4 linked regions of the Drosophila melanogaster genome follow. The protein of the gene in region 1 interacts with the protein of each later gene in a pairwise test. Each region holds a gene or a part of one and is shown on either strand. Other genes may lie near its edges. The genes, in order: CG10209, CG10918, CG15458 and Eip78C.

What was found.
Region 2: the proteins of CG10209 (region 1) and CG10918 interact in a two-hybrid assay, tested with the Drosophila melanogaster proteins (2 studies listed by BioGRID).
Region 3: the proteins of CG10209 (region 1) and CG15458 interact in a two-hybrid assay, tested with the Drosophila melanogaster proteins (2 studies listed by BioGRID).
Region 4: the proteins of CG10209 (region 1) and Eip78C interact in a two-hybrid assay, tested with the Drosophila melanogaster proteins (one study listed by BioGRID).

What each region holds. Positions count from the first base shown.
Region 1 is NT_033778.4:14,845,196-14,850,995, forward strand, and holds CG10209 (uncharacterized protein), read right to left. Parts: upstream 3,172-5,800; 5' UTR 3,008-3,171; coding exon 3,005-3,007; intron 2,777-3,004; coding exon 2,621-2,776; intron 2,570-2,620; coding exon 1,223-2,569; coding exon of another isoform or gene 1,136-1,222; 3' UTR 869-1,135; downstream 1-868. Other genes in the region: NaPi-T (Na[+]-dependent inorganic phosphate cotransporter), read right to left, coding at 1-101, 233-242; SMC2 (structural maintenance of chromosomes 2), read right to left, coding at 3,477-4,914, 4,968-5,161, 5,218-5,487, 5,545-5,800.
Region 2 is NC_004354.4:21,427,284-21,431,249, reverse strand, and holds CG10918 (uncharacterized protein), read left to right. Parts: upstream 1-1,993; 5' UTR 1,994-2,006; coding exon 2,007-2,558; 3' UTR 2,559-2,636; downstream 2,637-3,966.
Region 3 is NC_004354.4:20,412,876-20,416,907, forward strand, and holds CG15458 (uncharacterized protein), read right to left. Parts: upstream 1,325-4,032; 5' UTR 1,213-1,324; coding exon 1,150-1,212; intron 1,088-1,149; coding exon 959-1,087; 3' UTR 777-958; downstream 1-776. Other genes in the region: CG15459 (uncharacterized protein), read right to left, coding at 1-396, 566-622; Obp19a (Odorant-binding protein 19a), read left to right, coding at 2,894-2,962, 3,023-3,190, 3,266-3,469; Obp19b (Odorant-binding protein 19b), read left to right, coding at 3,870-4,032. UniProt on the Drosophila melanogaster protein: Mitochondrial membrane ATP synthase (F(1)F(0) ATP synthase or Complex V) produces ATP from ADP in the presence of a proton gradient across the membrane which is generated by electron transport complexes of the respiratory chain.
Region 4 is NT_037436.4:21,224,673-21,230,283, reverse strand, and holds the start of Eip78C (Ecdysone-induced protein 78C), read right to left. Parts: upstream 3,366-5,611; 5' UTR 2,812-3,365; coding exon 1,893-2,811; intron 1-1,892. UniProt on the Drosophila melanogaster protein: Induces the early late puff 78C which triggers puparium formation and development.

The sequences.
Region 1 (5,800 bases):
GGCAATCATGTCCACAATGGTAATGTTCAGATTGATCCGGATCATGTAGTTCACGATGAAACCGATGAATGTCATGTACCACAGCACAGTGCGCGCCTCGACTAAAAAGATCAAAGTAGAGTACATGAAATGCGAGCTCCCAACTTGTGGTTGTTCTTCATTTGGAGGTCTTAAACAAGATCTTCGACTTCGAGTTTCGAGGTAAGACACGAATTTCAGATCATTCTCGTACCTTGGCCCATGGTGAATGGATTGACTGGTTGAGAACTTCACTGGAAATTTGAACTCTGCATCTGCAGGAGCTGCCGCCAATCCCTGTGATTCGATCGCTGACGATCAACTGCTGCTGGCAGCTGCCGGAAAAGAATGCCAGACCCAGTCTGCCTCCAGTCGATCCGCCTGTATCTGTATCTGTATCTCTTTATCCCAGCCGGACGCCACTGATAAGCGCCGCAGATCTGGCGGACTATGCTGCAGCTCGGCTCGTGATCGCTCATCAACCTGCCCAACATGCGACAGACAACGACGAGTTCGGCGATCGGCAGCGCTCAGTTGAAATTCGCACTTAGGCAGACCGGATCAGTCAGCTGTTTGACTATCTTTATGATATGGCGTGCTCCCTGTGGGTTTCGTTATCGCGTTACGAGAGATGAAGACTAGATATTCCTGAAGACAGCTTAACGACGGACCGCTTGCCGGATTTACAGCTTTTCAAAGTCCAAACAAACAAGATTGTGGATTCCACCTCAGAGCTAAGCCAATGACTTCTCCGATTTGGCCAGAAAAACAAAAACCTGGGAATAGGGAGCTCTTGCCAGAAGTTGGGGATCAATCATTTTACTTGAACTAAAAAACATCCACAGTTTTTAAGATTCAATTATATTTGTATTTACACCGAAAAAATGTATGCGTCGCGATCTATTGAGAACTTGAGTCACAGTTGAGCTACGCTGTTATTGCCACGGGAACATTTACATGAGGATCACGGCATCCACTTACTACAAAATGGCATACATCAGGAGTATCTTCCTCATTGACTGCACCATTTTTGACTGTAGTAGTGTAGTGAGCAATGTGTACTTAGGTATAGGCTAGCATAAGAATGAGACCTACGAATTGCCGTCTAAATCGAGGGCTAACAGCTGTGCGCGTCTGCCGTCGTGGGGGACACCGTCGCAGGGCGTGGTGCTCCACAAGTGGCTTCCCACAGACGGCTCAGGACTCATCCGACATTTTCGTAGGACATTGGAGGCCGTTCGCTGGCGGTCGATCCGAAGATCGTTGGCGGATGGTGTTGCTGTCCCTGTTGCTGCTGCTGGTGGGGATGCTGTTGCTGTTGCTGGTGGGGATTGTGGCCATGCTGGTGTTGCTGTGCGGTCGGCTGCTCGTTGCGAAGCTGTCCCAGCGGAAACATGATGTTGTGGGCCATCTGGGGGTGGTGCAGGTGCTCATTGGGTGGCGGTGGAGGCGGTTGCTGGTGGGCAGCATGAAGGGCCTGAGCGGCCTCCACATGCTTGCGTTGCTCGCTTTGCTGTTGCTGTTGCTGCTGATGAACCTTCTCCACGCTGTTCTCCTCGTACTTCTTCTGAAGTTGGAAAAGAGGCAGCTGCTGGGAGGTATGAATGGGCACAGCAACTGCGCCTGCAGATGCTACTCGCTCTACCTGTGATTGAGGCGATGGTTCACGCTCGCCCTTTTCGTATTTCTTTTGCAACTGGTACATGCTGTGGGACAAGTGAGTAGTCACCGTGCTACTGCCACTGCTGCTAGAGCTGAGTTTTGAGGAGGTTGACGTAGAGGAGGGCGCGGGCTTCTCCGCTTTGACAGGCGACTTCTTCTGATACTTCTTCAGTATCTGCATTAGTTCGGACTTTACATCAAGGCGTATCTCCTCCGGAACTCTCTTGATCTCTTCGTACAGGGATAAGAGGAACAGCTTGTCGGGATCCCGGTTCTTGCGCTTCTTGCTCTTTTTTGGAAATGCATCCTGCATGAACTGCAGAAGCTTCTCCTCAAATGGCGACTCTCTGGATAGTGATCCACTTCCATGCTGGCGCCTCAACAGGTGTGGATGCAAGCCACCGTGAAAAGCAGGGTGCTGGAGCATTCCGGAGTGGGATTGACCACCGCCGCTATGCTCGCCTCCTCCACCGCTGCCATTGTGCGCCTGCAACTGGGATACTGGGTGTCCCTGATATGAGCCACCATTGCTTGATCCAGGAGCATCATTGGTTTCGCCATCGTTGGTGTGATGATCCTGCTGCTGCTGTTGCCCTGCATGCGATTGCGGATCCTTCTGGTGCTGCATATTGTGCTGGTGATGGCCCACTGCTGCCGTGAGAATAGCATCGCACAGATGCTCCGGGGCGTAGTCCAAGCCGGTCAAGAAGTTCTCCGCCTTGAGCTCACCATTCATCTCCTCGTAGAAGTACTCGGTGCCCACAATGTCGATGATATCGTTGTCCTCCTGGTTTAGTTCGATCCCCGGTGGTGGAGATCCTCCAGAGAGTTGACAGCGCTTCAGTTCCGCCAGCTTTTTCCTTGTGGTCAGTCGCATATCGCGCCAGCACTGGAAGAAGATTAAAGTTTATTTTTGGATTTAATAGGCAAGTAAACGCACCTTTTTCCACTGAATAATCGTCTTCTTGGGACCAATAGTATTAAGGGCCGCTTGGATCTTCTCCCAATACCACTCCTTCTCCTTTTTGCCCTCCATGTACTTGGTTTCCCGCAGCAGTGTGATGAGCATCTTCTTCTGCGGCTTGGTCACTCGATCCTGGAAGAGTAAAACGGTTCATTAGCAATCCCACATTCCAATGAATGAAATTCCACAAATCGGTGCTTTTCCCGCCTCGAACACCACTCCAATTGTTGCTATTGTTTATCCAAATGCCAGCGGTGTCTACAATATTTTGCTGCTCCCCGCACACACACACGCACAAGTCGTGTGTGTGTGTGGTAAAAGAATCGGACGATTCGTAATTTTTGGAACCTTGCAAATTACCATGGTGAGCTTTTGAAGCAGTCTGCGTTGGCTCGAAATCTTGATGTTTTGTTTTTCAACCGCCGTCGAGTTTTTGCTGCTGAATTCCGGGGACTTTTGTTTAATTTTTCACTCCCTCAAACATTGCTGTTGCTGCCTTTCGTTCTTCTTCTTCTGTCCGCTGCGTATGTGTGTGTGTGCGTTTGACGGTCTCACCAGTTTGACGTTTCGCCCGCCCGGTTGGAAATCAGCTGATGCGCAAACGACCGTTACAAAATTAAATTTGTAGTTAAATTACTTATTTCGTTGATTTAAGTAATGTAGCAATAAGTATATTGACCGATGGCTCTTGAAATAAGTATATTGCTGTAATACACAACCTTTTTTGCGAATTAAAAAAACTTGAAAAAATTCACAATTAAAATGATAAGAACAGTTTTATATGGTATTTTTAAAGTTTTATTAAGTGATAAGAAAGTAAACGAGTTCCATTTCAGCGTTTGTTGGTTGTCGCCTGTCTGCTGACCTGCCGGGTGATGGTGGACACACCCTCCTCGAAGAGAGTGCGGAACAGGACGTTGGCGTGGTTGAAGAGACCATCCTTGAGAGACACAATCAAGAACTGCGAGTTGGTGAAGTGCTGCTTCAACATACTACCTATGTTTTGGGTGTGTGACATGTCCAGGGCAGCGTCCACCTCATCCAAAATGTACAAGGGAGCCGGAGAGAACTTAAGCATGGCCAGGACAAGGGACAGAGCCACCAAGGACTTCTGGCCACCAGAAAGTTCACCGAGACTCTCCTTCCATATGCCATTGAAGCCGACTTTAATCTCCAAACCGGTCAGACAGCCATTGGTATGGACGGGATTGAGTTTCGCTTCAGCACCCGGTAAAAGGGAGCTAAAGATCCCACTGAAGTTCGTGTTCACCTCGGTAGCGGCTTTGTTCAGCTGATCCTGCTCTTCTTCGTCCATCTTCACTATGATTTTCTTAATCTTCTCCTTGTCCATCGCCACAATGTTTCGCCGGCGCTCGGTCTCCTTGAAGTTCTCTTCCTCGCGATCCAGCACCATGATAGCGTTCATGTTGAGAGTGCGTTCCATTTTGTCCTTTTTCTCCTGCATCTTTGCCAGCTTGTTGCCTGCTTCGTGGGGGTCCTCCTTGCTGTAATCGTACCGAGTATTCTTCATGCCAAAGCAGTTCTTCTCCTCCGGAATCCACGGATACTTTGCCTCAAGGGCTTCCATCCGTTTCTTTGCCTCTTTGGCATCCGAACTGATCTTTTTTTGTTCGTTCTCTTTTTTCTTCACCTCCAGCTCAATCTCCTGATTTTCCTTCAACATTTTCTCCTTCTTGACCAACTGATTTCGCATCTCCTTGTTCTGATCTCTCAGTTTATCTTTCTGCTCCTTAATCGCCTGTTCGAGCTCCGTCACCTCGGACGCGGCACTGGAGCTATTTACTTTCAGAGCGTCTAGCTCGGCCTTAAACTTTTCGAGGTTATCAATCATTTCCTGGTGCTGCTTCTTTGCAGTTTCGATACTTTTCTGCAGCTCAGTAATTTCCAATTGAAGAGTTTCGAACTCCTGCTCTCGCTTTTTCCAGTTCGCACGAGATTTCTCCGCCCTTTGCTTGGTCACCTTGATCTCGTTGGTGGCTGCATTCAGCTCTCGCTCGCGATAACCCTTTGCATCTGCCAACTTCGCCTCGATATCCACTATTTTGGCTTGCGAGGTCTTCTGCTTTTCACGGGAGTCAATTATTTGCTGCTCTAGGGTCTTGACCCTTTCCCTCATTTCTTCAATTTCAGCCTGATTCTGTTGAAAGGTTGTTTGGGCCAACCTGTTCTCGCACATGGTTAGCTCGTGCTGTCGCAAGTCAAGATTTTCCTTCATTTTGTTGAACGCGAGGGCCTGGTTTTCAATGGATCTAAAAACAGATAGGCGTAAGTATTGGCAATGAGAAGTTACTGGTTCACCTACGCAATTTGCTTTTCCACTTGGGCTATCTCAGAGTCGATCTCCCTGTACTCCTTTTCTATTTGCTTAATTGCGTGCAATTCTTCTAGAACGTTAGCACCTTTAGGAGCAGCACCTCCAGACACTGTGCCATGGGGATCGACGACATCTCCTTCCAAAGTCACAGAACGACAATTAATACGGGGGTCGTAGCTGATCTAGATAAAAAAAATGCATTTAAAAGATGTACAGAAAAAGAAATATATATACTCACTTGTTTGGCTACAATGAGGTCCTTGCAGATAAGTGTTCCGCCAAAGCAAAACTTCATGACAGGCTCGTAATAGCGGTCATAGTCAATCAGTGACATGGCCCATTGGACATTCTCGGCGCCCACTTTGTTTTGAGCGTATTCTACCACATTTCTGTTTAGCGAACCAGATTGAATCTTGTTGATGGGAATCAAAGTGACACGACGCTGAAGATTGCCCCTCTGCAAGATCTTCTTGCTAGTCACATCATCGTCCGTCACGTAGCTATATAACTAACATAGAACTCGTGATTAAAGAAATAACTTTTCAAATCAGATTTAACAACTTACACTTCCGCCGGCTGTCTGGACTAGAGCCATGGAGTTTTGCATGTCTTTCACCTGGAACAACTTGCCTACCAAACCACGCACCTTACGCCGATCAAAGTTTGGTTCTGGGTCCTGGTATTGCAGATCATAGCGGGAGGCATTGCAGCGGTCCAGCTCTCGTTTCAGATCGCGCTTTCGCATGTGCAGATCATTGCGTCGCTGCTTTAGCTTCTCGAAATGACCGCCCTCGTAATCGAGACTTTGTAGCTGCCGTTCT
Region 2 (3,966 bases), on another chromosome or scaffold:
CCAAATGCATTAGGGCGCCAAACTTGTGGATGTTGGGTCAAAGGGCATTTTTCCCTACGAATATGGGGAAAGGGGAACGGGAAATATGGAAAACGGGTGGGGGGGTGGCGGGTGTGAAGTGTTTCTTGGGGTAACGCAACGTCACGTTTCTGCAGTAAAACTTTAAAGTTGTGTGAGTTGGCGAGTTTGTGTGTCATGTGAAGTGGTAATTGTTAAGGTTCTGCAGTTCTGCACTATCCCTCTGTCTGCCCACATAAAAAAACCCCCTTTAAGACCTCTTAAAAAACCCCCCCTGTAACTGTTTTACCTTCCCGCATCAAAGTTAATGAAATTTCCAAAAGGGGCAAAAGTTCAAACGACGACAATTGGGCAAGCGCAAAAGCAAGAGGAATTGGGAGAACGCAGAAAAAAAGGCGGAAAAAGGGGAAAAGTACGGGAAAATGAAGGAAAGCCGTAGGGGAAAGCAGAAGAGGGACAGCGAAGAATACCTAGAACCACCAGCTTCTCTGAAAACCCAAAAGATTGTATCCGAAAATTATATTGACACGGTCGTGAATATGTGGCGTCAGTTTCTTCAGCCACACACACACATATGTACTTACTTTTGACGCAAAAATTAATTTTCATTTATATTTTTTTTTTTTTTATCTAAGCCGCAAATTTCTTTTTCTTTTTCTTTGTCATTTCATTTTCATTTTACTCCAAACGAAGTCACCCACCTTCCGGTCCTCGAAATTTCAATTTAAAAATCCCCATATGTGCGGAAAGCGGGAAACGCCATTCTATATTCGCGATTCTTAAACGCCACCCACTCCCGCCGCCCAACTAGGTGTCCTTGTCTCAGCCGCACATTTCACTCGACGCCCTGATTGATTCTAATCAGAAAATTAAGTGGCTCCTCGAGGTCGTTTGCCATGTATTAGCACTAATGTTAAAGATTTCTCTTCCTCGACATCCGCAACTCTCGAATTGGGAAAGTCAGAAAAGCTGTTCAGAGCTTTACTTTTCAGGAACTTAATCCACATTCACTCTAAGATGTTCGATCTTCTATACATATTTTTTTATTAATATAAGAAATATATGTTTATTACTTGGCAGTTGATATAGATAGATTTTAGACATAAATAAATGGCGCAAATGAAGGCTAAGCATGTGTATTTACAAATCAATTGACTTATTTCTGCGAATAAGTGTTACCAATTGAAAGGCCTTAAAAACTAATGAATTTACATAGTTCCTAACTTTTAATAAAGCATGAGAAAATTCAACTTTCGATGCTGGAGTATAAAACAATGCTATAGTCGAGTAAACCGACTAACAGATACCCGTTGCATACGCTTCTACGACTCTAGTATACCCCTTTACTCAGCAAGTAACAGGTATAAATATGTAAATGAAAAAATGAACAAAAAATATAATTTTTCCGACTGAGTCATAGATTTTAAGAGAACTTTTAAACGAGTGCTATTAGAATAAGTAACCCAGTTGTTGACAACAAATAAACAAAGTAAATAAACAAAAATTTGCAGTAGGGTTATAAACCTTCAAATAGACATTCATTTTCTTCTAAGCAAATTTACAATTCGTCTTAGTATTTGGCTAACGTTATGATTGTTTTTTGTTTCATTGTGAGGATACTGCGTAAATTTCTGTAAACTTCCCTCTCTGACACAGCACTTTTTTTTAAACTCAAACGGTTGTATTAAAATAGAAGAATAGAACAATGGAACTAATTCAAACATCGACCAGCTGTTGCCACACGACGAATGAAACAAGAGAAACACACGGATTATTAGATGCGAAGAATTCGAGCTCAGCTCTTCAGGGAGTTCTTCGCTCTATTTTCCATTCTTCGGAGTATCCAGCTAAGCACACAGCCAATGCTGCCGTCACGGGGGATTCTTAGCAAAAAGGCTGATGGATGAATTCGACACCGAATTTTTGGGTATAAAAGGGGCTACACGTACATAACTCAAATCAGTTGCTATTGGAGCAAAAGTCCCACAATGCGTGCCTACATTGCAATTACCCTGCTGGCCCTGGTGGCAGTTGTCGTGGCCCAAGGGGGAGGCGGAAGACGTGGTGGACGCGGTGGCGGCGGAGGCGGTGGCCGAAGTCTTGGAGGATTCGGAGGACGTGGAGGCGGTGGCTTCGGCGGTCGCGGTGGTCCTGGTGGTACTGGTGGCCCCGGTGGCTTCGGCGGACCTGGTCGCTTTGGAGGGCCTGGAGGACTTGGCGGTGGTGGAGGATTCGGAGGTCCCGGCCGCTTTGGCGGTCCCGGAAGCTTCAATGGTGGATTCGGCGGTCCTGGCGGTTGGGGCCCACGTCCACGTCCTCGTCGCCCAAGACCTTGGTGGACGACAACGGAGAGTTCCTTGGCCGACACCAGCAGCACAACTAGCAGCTCCTCCAGCTCCACCGACAGCAGCTCCTCTGCCAGCTCCACTGATAGCTCCACCGATAGCTCCACCGATAGCTCCACCGATAGCTCTACCGATAGCTCCACCGATAGCTCCACTGATAGCAGCTCCACGGAGAGCACTACTGGTTCGGGATAGATTCTGAGTCTCAATTGCAGCGTATTGAAAACTTTCTGGGAAATGTATGAAAATAAAATCTAATTGGCACATTGAAACTTAATTTCATTAACTTGGAATATATTAGTCATATACAGTCATATTAGTCTTACAGACTAGCCGAATCTATTCAGCAATGTCCGTTCGTATTAAGACCTTTGATTCGCACCAAAAAATATCTCGATTAGCATATGAGATTGAAAGCTGTCTCTTAAGAGAATTATCGTTTCTGTTATTTCTTCGATATCGACAGGCAAATCAATCATCTGATTAATGAAATATCATCATTTGTTATCATAAAGTAAACAGCATGAAGGCTAGTTATTTTGATAATTTAATTTTGGCAGCTGCCTGCCGAATAGCTCTATTAGGGCAAATTGAATTTTCAATAAGTGGTAGGCTAAGCGAGAATTGGACATAATAGGAAACACCCGACACCGCTGAGAACACCACATGACATATGCTGCACCATTTCGAGTCCAAAGGGGTGGTGCAACGAACGGGGGCACGGGCACAAACGTGCGGGGAACCTAGTAGGAGTAGGGACCGAAAATCCGGACGCCATATAGAAGAGGGCTGAGAGTGCGGAATGTCCAAATCCAATAAATTGACCAATAATGAACGCTCGAATGCAGCTCGAGGCGAGAGCGCTGTGCAGTGGGTGAACGTGGGAGCAAAGTTGAAAAGCCAAAAAACAATGATGGTCAGTGGCTCTGGCCTGCGGTACTTTGGTCCTTCGCTTTTCCGTCTGCGCTCCCTGGGGCGGCTTCAAGACAACGTCAAAGGCAAGGGCGAGGGGCCAGAAGCTCGAAAAAAAAGACACGAAAAGAACGCAAAAAATCAACTTGCAAAAAATTCCGAAAAGAACAAAAAAAAAAAAAAAAACAAACTCAACACGACACGGACAACATGGAAAAGCTCCAAAGGGCAAGCCCAATGAATTAATGGCACGTCCTTGGCGAACTAAAAATGCTCTATTCGAAGCAAAGCAAGTGTAAAACAATTAATTCGTCGCTTTAAAGGCCTTGAAACCCTTTTCTTACAAAATTACACCCTGCTGTTTCCCAAACACAAGTGCTATATATTCTCTCAATATCTAACTTTAAGCTTTAGATCCCGAAAACTTATGATTTTGAATAGATAGATTGAGCTCTTCTATTGCGTAATAGTTTCTCAATATCTAACTTTAAGCTTTAGATCCCGAAAACTTATGATTTTGAATAGATAGATTGAGCTCTTCTATTGCGTAATAGTTTCTGAATAAAAATCTTACAAATCGCTGAAGCAAATACAAGAGTTTAAACGAAAGATGCTTTAGTGGAGGAATCATTAAACCGTTCTGGGGTCATCACTCCTTCGACAAGAAAAGCCAATTCCCAGCCCAGCCGGA
Region 3 (4,032 bases), on another chromosome or scaffold:
CGCCCAGCTGCTGTGGCTGCTATGCTTCACGGCTCCCTCCGCCCGACGCTGCGGCTCCTCGCAGGGACACTTGCGCCGCGGAGCAGAGCCTGATCCTCCCGATGTGGGCGGAGGTGGTGGCGGCGGCGGATCGTCGCGACAACCATTGTCATCCTCGCCCGCCGCCCGGCGCTGCTGCTCGCGATCGAACTCGGTCATGGCCCGCTCCGATCGCTCCCGGCAAACGGAGCAGTCGGGATCCGCGCCGTAGACGCCAATGTCGCCATTGAGGGACGACTCGTGGTCCGATTCGCAGCTGCACTTGCCGCTGGCCAACTCGCCGGTCTTGCCGGATCCGCGGCGCAGCTTGTACACGATGAACAACAGGGCCAACGTGGCGTATGTGGCCTTTGCCACCTGCGAAATGGGTCATAGTATATGTATTTGTAAAAAATGTATGTAAAAAAATGTTAAATTAATAATTTTGAATTTCAATTTGGAGCTGAAAATAATATTTTGTGTCCATCAACAGCTCCAAAGCGATGGTTCATTTTATCTTGTGTGCGTTCAATAGAATCACTCTTACGTTAGCGCGTCCATTGATGGTTGTCCCATTGAAGTACTTCTTAAAGCCGTCGGCCATTGCTACTGGACTGGATCTGGAGATCTGGAGATCTGGATTTGGGGTCGGGTCCGGGTGAGAGCTGAGTGTGTTCTGCCTATAGCTCCGAGCGAGAACCTAATGACAAGCAGCGAAGTGCAAAGCTCGGCCAACTAGATTACAAAGTCGATTCATTGGCAGGATTCGATTTTTATTGACTCAACGAGGTGGTACATGAGTTTGGTCCCCAAGCCTTTAACTGTGGCATCGAGGACCGGAAAGGGGGTGCTGATTATAAATAGTTATGGATTGCTGACGGGTCGAATGGGTCGGAGCGGTGGGGAGCCATGACTTCAATGATTTGGCAGCATCGGCGCCCTAGCCATGGAGCATGGCCTGCTGGCAGCCCTTGCAGTAGAGCTTGGTCTCGCGCCGCTTCGTGTTGCGGCGGTGCATCTTGACCAGGACGTAGACGAGTCCCAACGAGGCCCAGGTGGCCTTGGCTACCTGTGGGTTTCGGTGGCGTATTTGGGCGCATCTTGTGTACTGCCGTGTACTGAATCACTTACATTGGCGCGACCACGCATGGTCTGGCTGTTGAAGGCTTCGTTGAAGTTGAAATGATCGGACATCTTTGGATCGTTGTTGACCGGATTGGCGTGGCTTTTAACAAAAGATTAAAATTTGGATTCGATATTCGACCTGTATTTTAGACCGGGATTCGGATTGTGACTTTTAAACGTTCGAAATGAAAGGAATGTTACTGACAGTCGTCAAAGCCGACTCGGGTTTCCCAACTAGAGAGAATGCTGAAGTCTAGTACCGACTAATGGGATACCCATTAATTACTGCTTAAATACTGTGATGAAAATTGAGATATGCAAGAGGCAAATCGAAAGTTTTGGACATTTTCATATTGTACCTTTAACCAACTTCAGAATTCATTGAGCTAAATACCATTTACAATTTTATGAAATTTTTAAGCATGTTACAGCTATAACTATTTTTAAACCAGTTACTAGATTCGTTGAAAATTGTATGTCACACAGAACTTCTTGCCATCCTGGTCGGAATTAGGATCACTAGCCAAGCCGATATGGCTATGTCTGTCCGTATGAAAGTCTTGGAATCTGATATTAACATCGCATATCGATCGACCATTATATATCTAATATATCCTCTACAAATGTATTTTATCACCTAGCTAGCATGTAAACATTCTGGCCTATTTAGCTGTACGCTTCAGTTATGCTAATGCAAACATAAGCCTTTTGTGATATTATAATTTACATTTATTATTTATTGCAGTTAGCTTTATCAGCGATTTGGGCTCATGCCACACGCAATACTACTTATTTCAACGTCATCAGTTGTACTAAATGCACAAATGAAATACATTTCGCCAAATAAATGCCAACTTGCAACTAATTTGAATGCTAATCAAACCGAACTACTCATTTGCATACAAGGTAATAGGTGGTTAAAGTGAGTGTAATGGACTTACTTAAGGGGTTACAAGGCTTATATTTAAAATGCCTGCCTTGTAATTAAATTTTTAAATATATTGGAAAAAAATGGCCACTTGTTATGTGAGTCTCCAGAAAAAAAACAAAAAAACAGCAACCATCTGGTATGCAAAATATCTGGTGGTAGCAAAATATCTGGTGGTATCTGGTGGACTATCAAAATATAAAAACTTTTTTTTCCAGATAGTATATCTTAAAATCAGCATCTTGAAGGAGTATATGTAAATAGCAAACTATTTGTAAAAATAGATTTTATTTTATAATTTTTTAAGATATATACCAAACATTATTACCGATTGTGATTATCTTTACATTGTTTGACCTCAAAACGGAAAACTGGATGCGCGGTATCCATGCGACCCTAACTCTGGAACCGATTTTGGAACCGCCCCGTTAGATCTCAGATTGAAACCTTATTTGCATTCGCATGATCGCTGATGAACACTGGGGAAATGCGGCCCAGCAATGGGATTGTCAACGCATCTCGGCCAGAATCGCGCCTCGCATGCCACCTCGCACGGTGACCACATACCTGTGTACACTGTCAATTAACGTGGCAAGATTATAGCCCGGCCAGAAAGTAATCCGCCCCAGGAACACCACCCACCGCCCGCCCATTTGGATATGGAAATGGGCAGTGGGGGCGGCGATTGGCGCTAACCCATAATTCCCACACCCACTTAGCGGTTCGATCGAACCAATATGAAGTCATTTGCATGTCGGGGGCCGTGTATAAAAGGAGTCGCCGATGGGTCTGGAGTCTGGAATCCGCCAAATCGTCTCGGAAATGAAGTTCCATCTGCTGCTGGTCTGCGTCGCCATATCCCTGGGACCAATCCCCCAGTCGGAGGCAGGGGTAGGTCCTTAAGCTCTTCTCTCTGCCGGAGGATGCCTCATGGATACTGTCCACTTGCAGGTGACGGAGGAGCAGATGTGGTCTGCCGGAAAGCTGATGCGCGACGTCTGCCTGCCCAAGTATCCGAAGGTCAGCGTCGAGGTGGCCGACAACATTCGCAACGGTGACATACCCAATAGCAAGGACACCAACTGCTACATCAATTGCATCCTGGAAATGATGCAGGCAGTACGTATTAAGAAGTTTCCATCGGCTGTGTTGGTTACATTATCAGCTCCTTCTTTCCGCTCTGCTCCTGCTTAGATCAAGAAGGGAAAGTTCCAGCTGGAGTCGACCCTCAAGCAGATGGACATCATGCTGCCGGACAGCTACAAGGACGAGTACCGCAAGGGCATCAATCTGTGCAAGGACTCCACCGTCGGCCTGAAGAACGCCCCCAACTGCGATCCCGCCCACGCCCTGCTCAGCTGCCTGAAGAACAACATCAAGGTATTCGTGTTTCCCTAGGCTTTCCATCCGAGGCTGCCAATGCGATACCAGATGCGTCACACTTTGGCATTCGGAACAGGTGACTCCGCAGCAAATAAAGTAGATATGTATATCTCTTGTCCGCAATCCTAAACCCACACCCAAGCCCAATCCCCTGACCAGATGATCAATAAAAGCTAGCCGGAGGGCCCCGTCATCTGTGCTGTATTTTAACTGGGCTGCGATGGATGGACGAATGGGTGGTTGGCTGTGGTTGTGGTGGGGCTTGCATGATCCGCCCCAGCAATGTCATGGCTATCGCCGGTTGATCTACATCCGAGGCGATTTGCTTGTACCGGATGTGCTGGACACGATTGCGGCGGGTATAAATTGCCCGGCGCCGATTGCTGTCCGTCCACTATTCACAAGAAGAGCAAAAATGATGCAGTGCAGCCGAATGACGACGACGTTGAAGATGACGAACCTTCTGCTAGCAGTGGCCTGCGCCGCCGTGCTGATGGGATCGGCGACGGCGGACGAGGAGGAGGGGTCCATGACCGTGGACGAGGTGGTGGAGCTGATCGAGCCCTTTGGCGACGCCT
Region 4 (5,611 bases), on another chromosome or scaffold:
CATTTCATTTCGAATTCAATTTGACTGCATGTCTTGCTGCTATTTTTCGCTTTTCTAATGCAAAAGGAAGAGGCAAATGAACTAAGCGCGGAGTTTGAACAGCCTTCTATTGTTGTTGTCGCGATGTTGTTGGTGTTGGTGTTGCTAGTTGCCGCTGTGCACATTGGCGTTGCCACACCTCAGAAATGCGAAACAAAATGAAATTAATGTGGATACACGCACCGAAAAACTGTCGACAGGAACGGAAATATGGAGACAGAACTTCAATTTATTTCTTGTAATAAAATGTCCTTGTGCTTGGTCCAAGAAACTGTCCTTTACAAATTTTGTAACAAATATTAATCTAATACACATCACTTCCGAAACCGTTTAAATTTGTTAATATTTATTTGGTGATCAACTTTGGTGATGCATGTTTACATCATTTGTTTTTTCTTACAGTGGATGGCGCGTTACGCGCTTGTGCAATTGCAAATTGAATTTTTACAATTGGAGTGCAACAACAATTACAACTACAACAACGGCGTCTGGAAAATGTCGTCGGCCCGGGCAGGAATGAAAAAGAAAAGAAAACGCAAAGGAAACTCAAGTGGCTGCTTTTCATTTTCGCGCCGCGTTCAAATGCAAATCATTTGGTGGCTTTTGCAAGTTGACAATTTGAAACGCCATTGTTTATCCAGCCGAAGAAAAAGGGGTGCGGGTTGTGGGTTGACTGGCTGGCTGGCTGGCTGGCTGACTGGCTGGTGGAAAACTGCTTGGCATTTCCGCGTTGTCAGACAAGTCAGAGGCATGGACGATAGACGACAAAGACTTCATATTTCCTCGACTTTTTCCCATTTCCATTTTCATTTCATGCATTTATCTGGTTGAAGACAACTAATTGAGTGGAGTGGACAACGAGCGATTGCAGTCAATTTTTGCCCCGGCAGAGGAATATCAATTTGAATGCCGTGGAAAAAGCAGTCGAGATTTTGACTTTTCCTCTAATTCCCAGCTTGATTTCAAGGCCTTTCCTAACAGATTTAATTTTCATTCGCACTAATTGACGCAATTAAATGTTGCCATTCCAGGACTCGAAATGAAATCTTCGCCAAAAAATCCAGGCAATTTGCAAGTTCAGCCAAGCCGAATAGTATTTATAATGTCGAATTGTAGTTCAAAATATTATAAAATTTATTGAAAATAAACAAATTTATATTTAAAGTTAAATAATCATTTTCTTGGCTATTAGTGGCGGTAAATCATTCAGCAATAAAAATGTATTGGATTTAGATATTTATAAAAAAAATTGTTTAAAATATATATGTTGGTTTCTTTTTTTGAAAGTCTCTGTGTAAGCAGCAGCTGACCGTAGTAGTTATTAAGCCTATGTTTTGTTGCATTTCCGGTTCCAACTACCCATTCGTTCGAGCCACCAACTACTCCCGGAGGAGTAGAATGGGCTTAGCCCCTTCAAATACCATCATCCAAGGCAAAAGAGAGCCGAGACCAATTCAAGGCGATTTATGAAAATTAAAACATCTTTTCCATGGCTTTCAATTGCACTGCACCCAAAAGGAAAAGCAAATGCAGCGGCAAATGCAAGCACATTGACAGACGTGCAACATGAAAAGCAATTTCCTCGCACTAAAGAGAAAACTGAAACAGCAACAGCCATTGGCCAATAACAGCGAATTATATTCATTTTCACATTTTCCATGCTGCGCTTTAATAGTTTCCTCAAAAGGAGAAGAAACCGAAGACCCAACGACTTTCAATTGCTGTTGCAGCTATTATGCAATGAATGCAAATTTATTGAACACAATTTCAAAGACCGACAACAATGGTCCGCAGCAGAGGAGAGGAGACGACAACGCGGAAGAGTCGCAGTGTCAGTTGCAAATTGCACGTACCTTTGTTCAGATGCGCAACAGATGAAGATGTTGCTGCGGGGTTGACGACGCTGTTGTTGCTGCTGCGGCCGCTGCTGATGGTGCTGCTGACCGCTGACGAGGAGGAGGATGCAGAGGAGGATCCGCAGGATCGCGAAGATCCGGAGGAGGAGGCCGACGAGCAGCCGCTGTCCGGCGAAGAGTGGGCGGCGCTGGAGGAGGGGGAGCTGCTGCTGGTGTTGTGGTTGCTGGCCGGACCGAACTGATGCACACTGCTGATGGTGTACAAAGCACCTCCACCATTGCTCAGCGTGCAGTTGAGCTGATGTTGCTGCTGTCCAGGGTGTTGCTGCTGCTGCTGCTGTTGCTGTTGTTGCTGGTGGGTGTGCTGCCGTTGCTGCTGCTGCTGTGGGCTTAGACTGGCTGCAACACTCTCTGCTAGGGCTGATGTTCTATAGAAGTCGTCGCAATGCAACAACTGCAATGGATCAGCTTCAATGGCACTTAGGCAATCCTCCAAATCCCGGTGATGCTGCTTCTGCTGCTGATGCTGCTGTGTTTGCTTCTCCTCTTCCTGCTCGGATTCCAAGCTATTGGCCTCACTGTAGGCCCCTTGGGTGGACGAGTCCTCCGGTGTGTCAAAGAAATGCAAATTAAAGTCTGAATTTGCATTAAAATTGACTACCGGCAGCAGGGCTTCCTCGTCCTCGTCCTCCTCTTCTTCTTCGCCTTCTTCTTCCTCGTCCTCTTCGTTGTCCTCTTCCTCCGCCTCCTCTTCGCTTGGCTGTTCCTCCTCGTCCCGAGTGAAATCCTTGATGAGGTCCTCCTGCTTAACTTGGAGCTGCTGCTGCTCCGAAGACGAGTGCTTCACACAGGTTTCGACCAGCAGTTTGGAGCGGATTTGTGCCTGTTCCTCCAGCTCTATTTGGTATACATCCATGTTGCTCGGATCGAATCGGTGAGATGGGCATCCATCATCTTCATCATCGTCCTGCTGGCGGAAATCGACGTTGGCAACCTGCGAGGGCGCCTGATCAGCATTTTTATGGGAAATCTCTGCGATGTTATATCTTTTGCACTTAATGAGGAATCCGGAGAGGGCGTTTCAAAAGGATTCACGGTCTTTCAAATTTTCTTCGCTTTTGTCAGCTGTGGCTGAATTGAAAAAAGAAGTTAGGCTTTAGCATATGGCAAAGTCCTTTAAAGAAAATGCTATCCGATTTCAAAAGCTAGACCAATCTATCAAGTTCTGGTAATCTTGAAAAACCAATCATAATAAGTACGATAAGTTAACATTAAGTCTAAGAATAAGTGTATAAAATAGACATTAATTTTTGATATCAAGTAACCTAATATTCCCAATACTATAATATTTGGCCAATATTTCCTTTTTTCTATTTATTAGTTTGCTAAGTTTAGTTAAGGCCTTTCCCAGCCATGTACATATGTAATTATTGCCTCCCTACTTTGTGCGCAGTTCTTTCGTTAATGCTTGAATTCAATTATCACGATCATTTCGCATTTCTCATTACTAATCCCCTCGCTTAAGTTTGTCACTTGCACTTAGCCTTCGTAATAGCTTGTATTGCATAATTTTTCAATTCACTTCCGTGTTGTTTTCGAAGTCCTTCGTTTCCAAGTTCAGGCTAGTTCCAAAATCGGGCGCTCGTTTCGATATAGGTTCGTTTTGTGGCGGCACACTCGCGCGTCGATTTTATTATTTTTTGGGAGAAATGGTGATCGCGCGTACAAAACTCTCGCTTCGTCGAGATCCAAGCGCCAACTTCGCAGCGCTCCAAATGCGCCAGGGAAAATCCAAGCTAAACTGTAGAACCTACGACAACACACAAAAGTCCAAGACGACGACGGAGCAGCGGCGCAGAAGAACAAGAACGTGTCCCTCTGCGCCAGTGTGAGTAACTGTGCGCTGGTCTGTGTGTGGAAAGAGCAGGAAAATAGAATGCATTGCGTCTGTGTGGCCCAATGGAGTGGGAAAACTGCGAAGCGCCGCCGCCGCCGGAGCATGAGGTGGAGCCGCTGGAGGAGATGAAGGGAGCAGATCGGTTGGAGAGAGTCAATGTGATGCGAGTACTGGAGGCTCTATCTTTCTAATCTCCACCAGCGCCAGCGACAGCAAGAGCAGCAGCAATAACAGCAGCCACACAAGCTGCAACAGCAACAACTTGGAAAGCTGCAGCCACATTAGAAACTGCTGCAGCAATAGAATCGGCAACAGCAGCAGCAACTGTTGCAACAGCAACAGCACAACAGAAACATGCATTGCCACTCTCGCTGTTGCAGCTGTATTTTGTTGCTGCACTTTTTCATTTGCAAACTCTTTTCCTGGTTGCTATTTTCAATTTCTATTGCCGCTGCCGGCGTTGCTGCCAACGTCGGCATCGACTTCCAACATTTCCAAGTGCAACCACACATCCACTCAAGATCAATTTCACACACACCAATGCAGCGAGCGAGAGCAATAGAGAGAGACTCGGACCGTTACTTAGTTTGCACTATCCTCGAGGGAGAGGGCAATGGGCATGTGTGTGTGCGCGAGAAAGAGAGAGGGCAGAAGTGTGGGCGCCTTCAAGGGGGGTCAAGTCAAAGAACCTTCAGCTGAGCAGGCAGGAAAGAGAAAGGCCGAACGGCAGAGTGGGAGAGCAAATTCTGCAATGCGGAAGTTTAAATGTTGCATGTTGCTTTTGCGTTTGTGGGCTGTTTTTCACCGAGAAGAAAGTGGAAAACTGCAGTTTTTGGCATGAAAATACTTTCCTGAAAATTATTTTTGAAGATCAAATGAAGTATTTAGGAATTTGCTTCTGAGTCAAAAAGGTTTAATGTTTTGACTTGAAAATAAAAAGCAAACAATGCCAAATTTTCCCGAAAAATGAATTTACATTCAAGGACAATGATAAAAAATAATATGATTGTGCAAATTGCAAGGGTACAAGGAATTAATTAACTAGGTACAGAAATCTCTTTTTCGAATAGTATTTTTTCCTTTTTCCCTAACGTTTTCCGCAATTTTCGTGACGAACGCCTGGCGCAAAAGGGAACGAACGAAAGTCAATGATCAGCGGCGGCGGCGACGTCAACTGCATGCTAGCTTGCCATTTTTCCAACGGGCAGCAGCGAAAGCAACCAGAAACTGTAAATAACAGGAAAACGGCAACTGGGCGATCGGTGGAGCCACATATCCACGATCCTCCGCGAAAGCGAAAAGCCAGCGAGCAGCCGAGGTACGACGACCAATCGAAGCGATAACTCCGCCGCCCCCACCGATCCGACGATCCACCCAGGCTGTGGCATGCTATAGCACACTATATGTCCGATTGCGTCGGGCGATAAAACCTGATCTCCGCAGACACACCGATATGCCACGCACACTCCTCCAAAGACGCTCACCCATACAGACAGACGTGCGATGACGACGAACCAGGAAGAGAAAAATGAAAATGCCGCTCGCGAAGATTGTGTAATCGAATCGAGTGAGTGTGTGCGTGTGTGTGTGTGCGAGTGAGAGTTGTTTAAAGATGGGCGGGTGGAAAAGGGGAGCACTATTCTTATTATTACTGCATTTCACTTATCATCTCACGAGGGTGAAGGGGGGAGGTGGGGACAGTTGCCTTGGCTTCTTCGCGTTTTTCGCGTTTATTTATTTTGCTATTGTTGGCTCTACGTTCGCCGCGTTAAGTTCAATGACTTGTGGGCAACGTCATGGGCAACATTTGAGACAACAG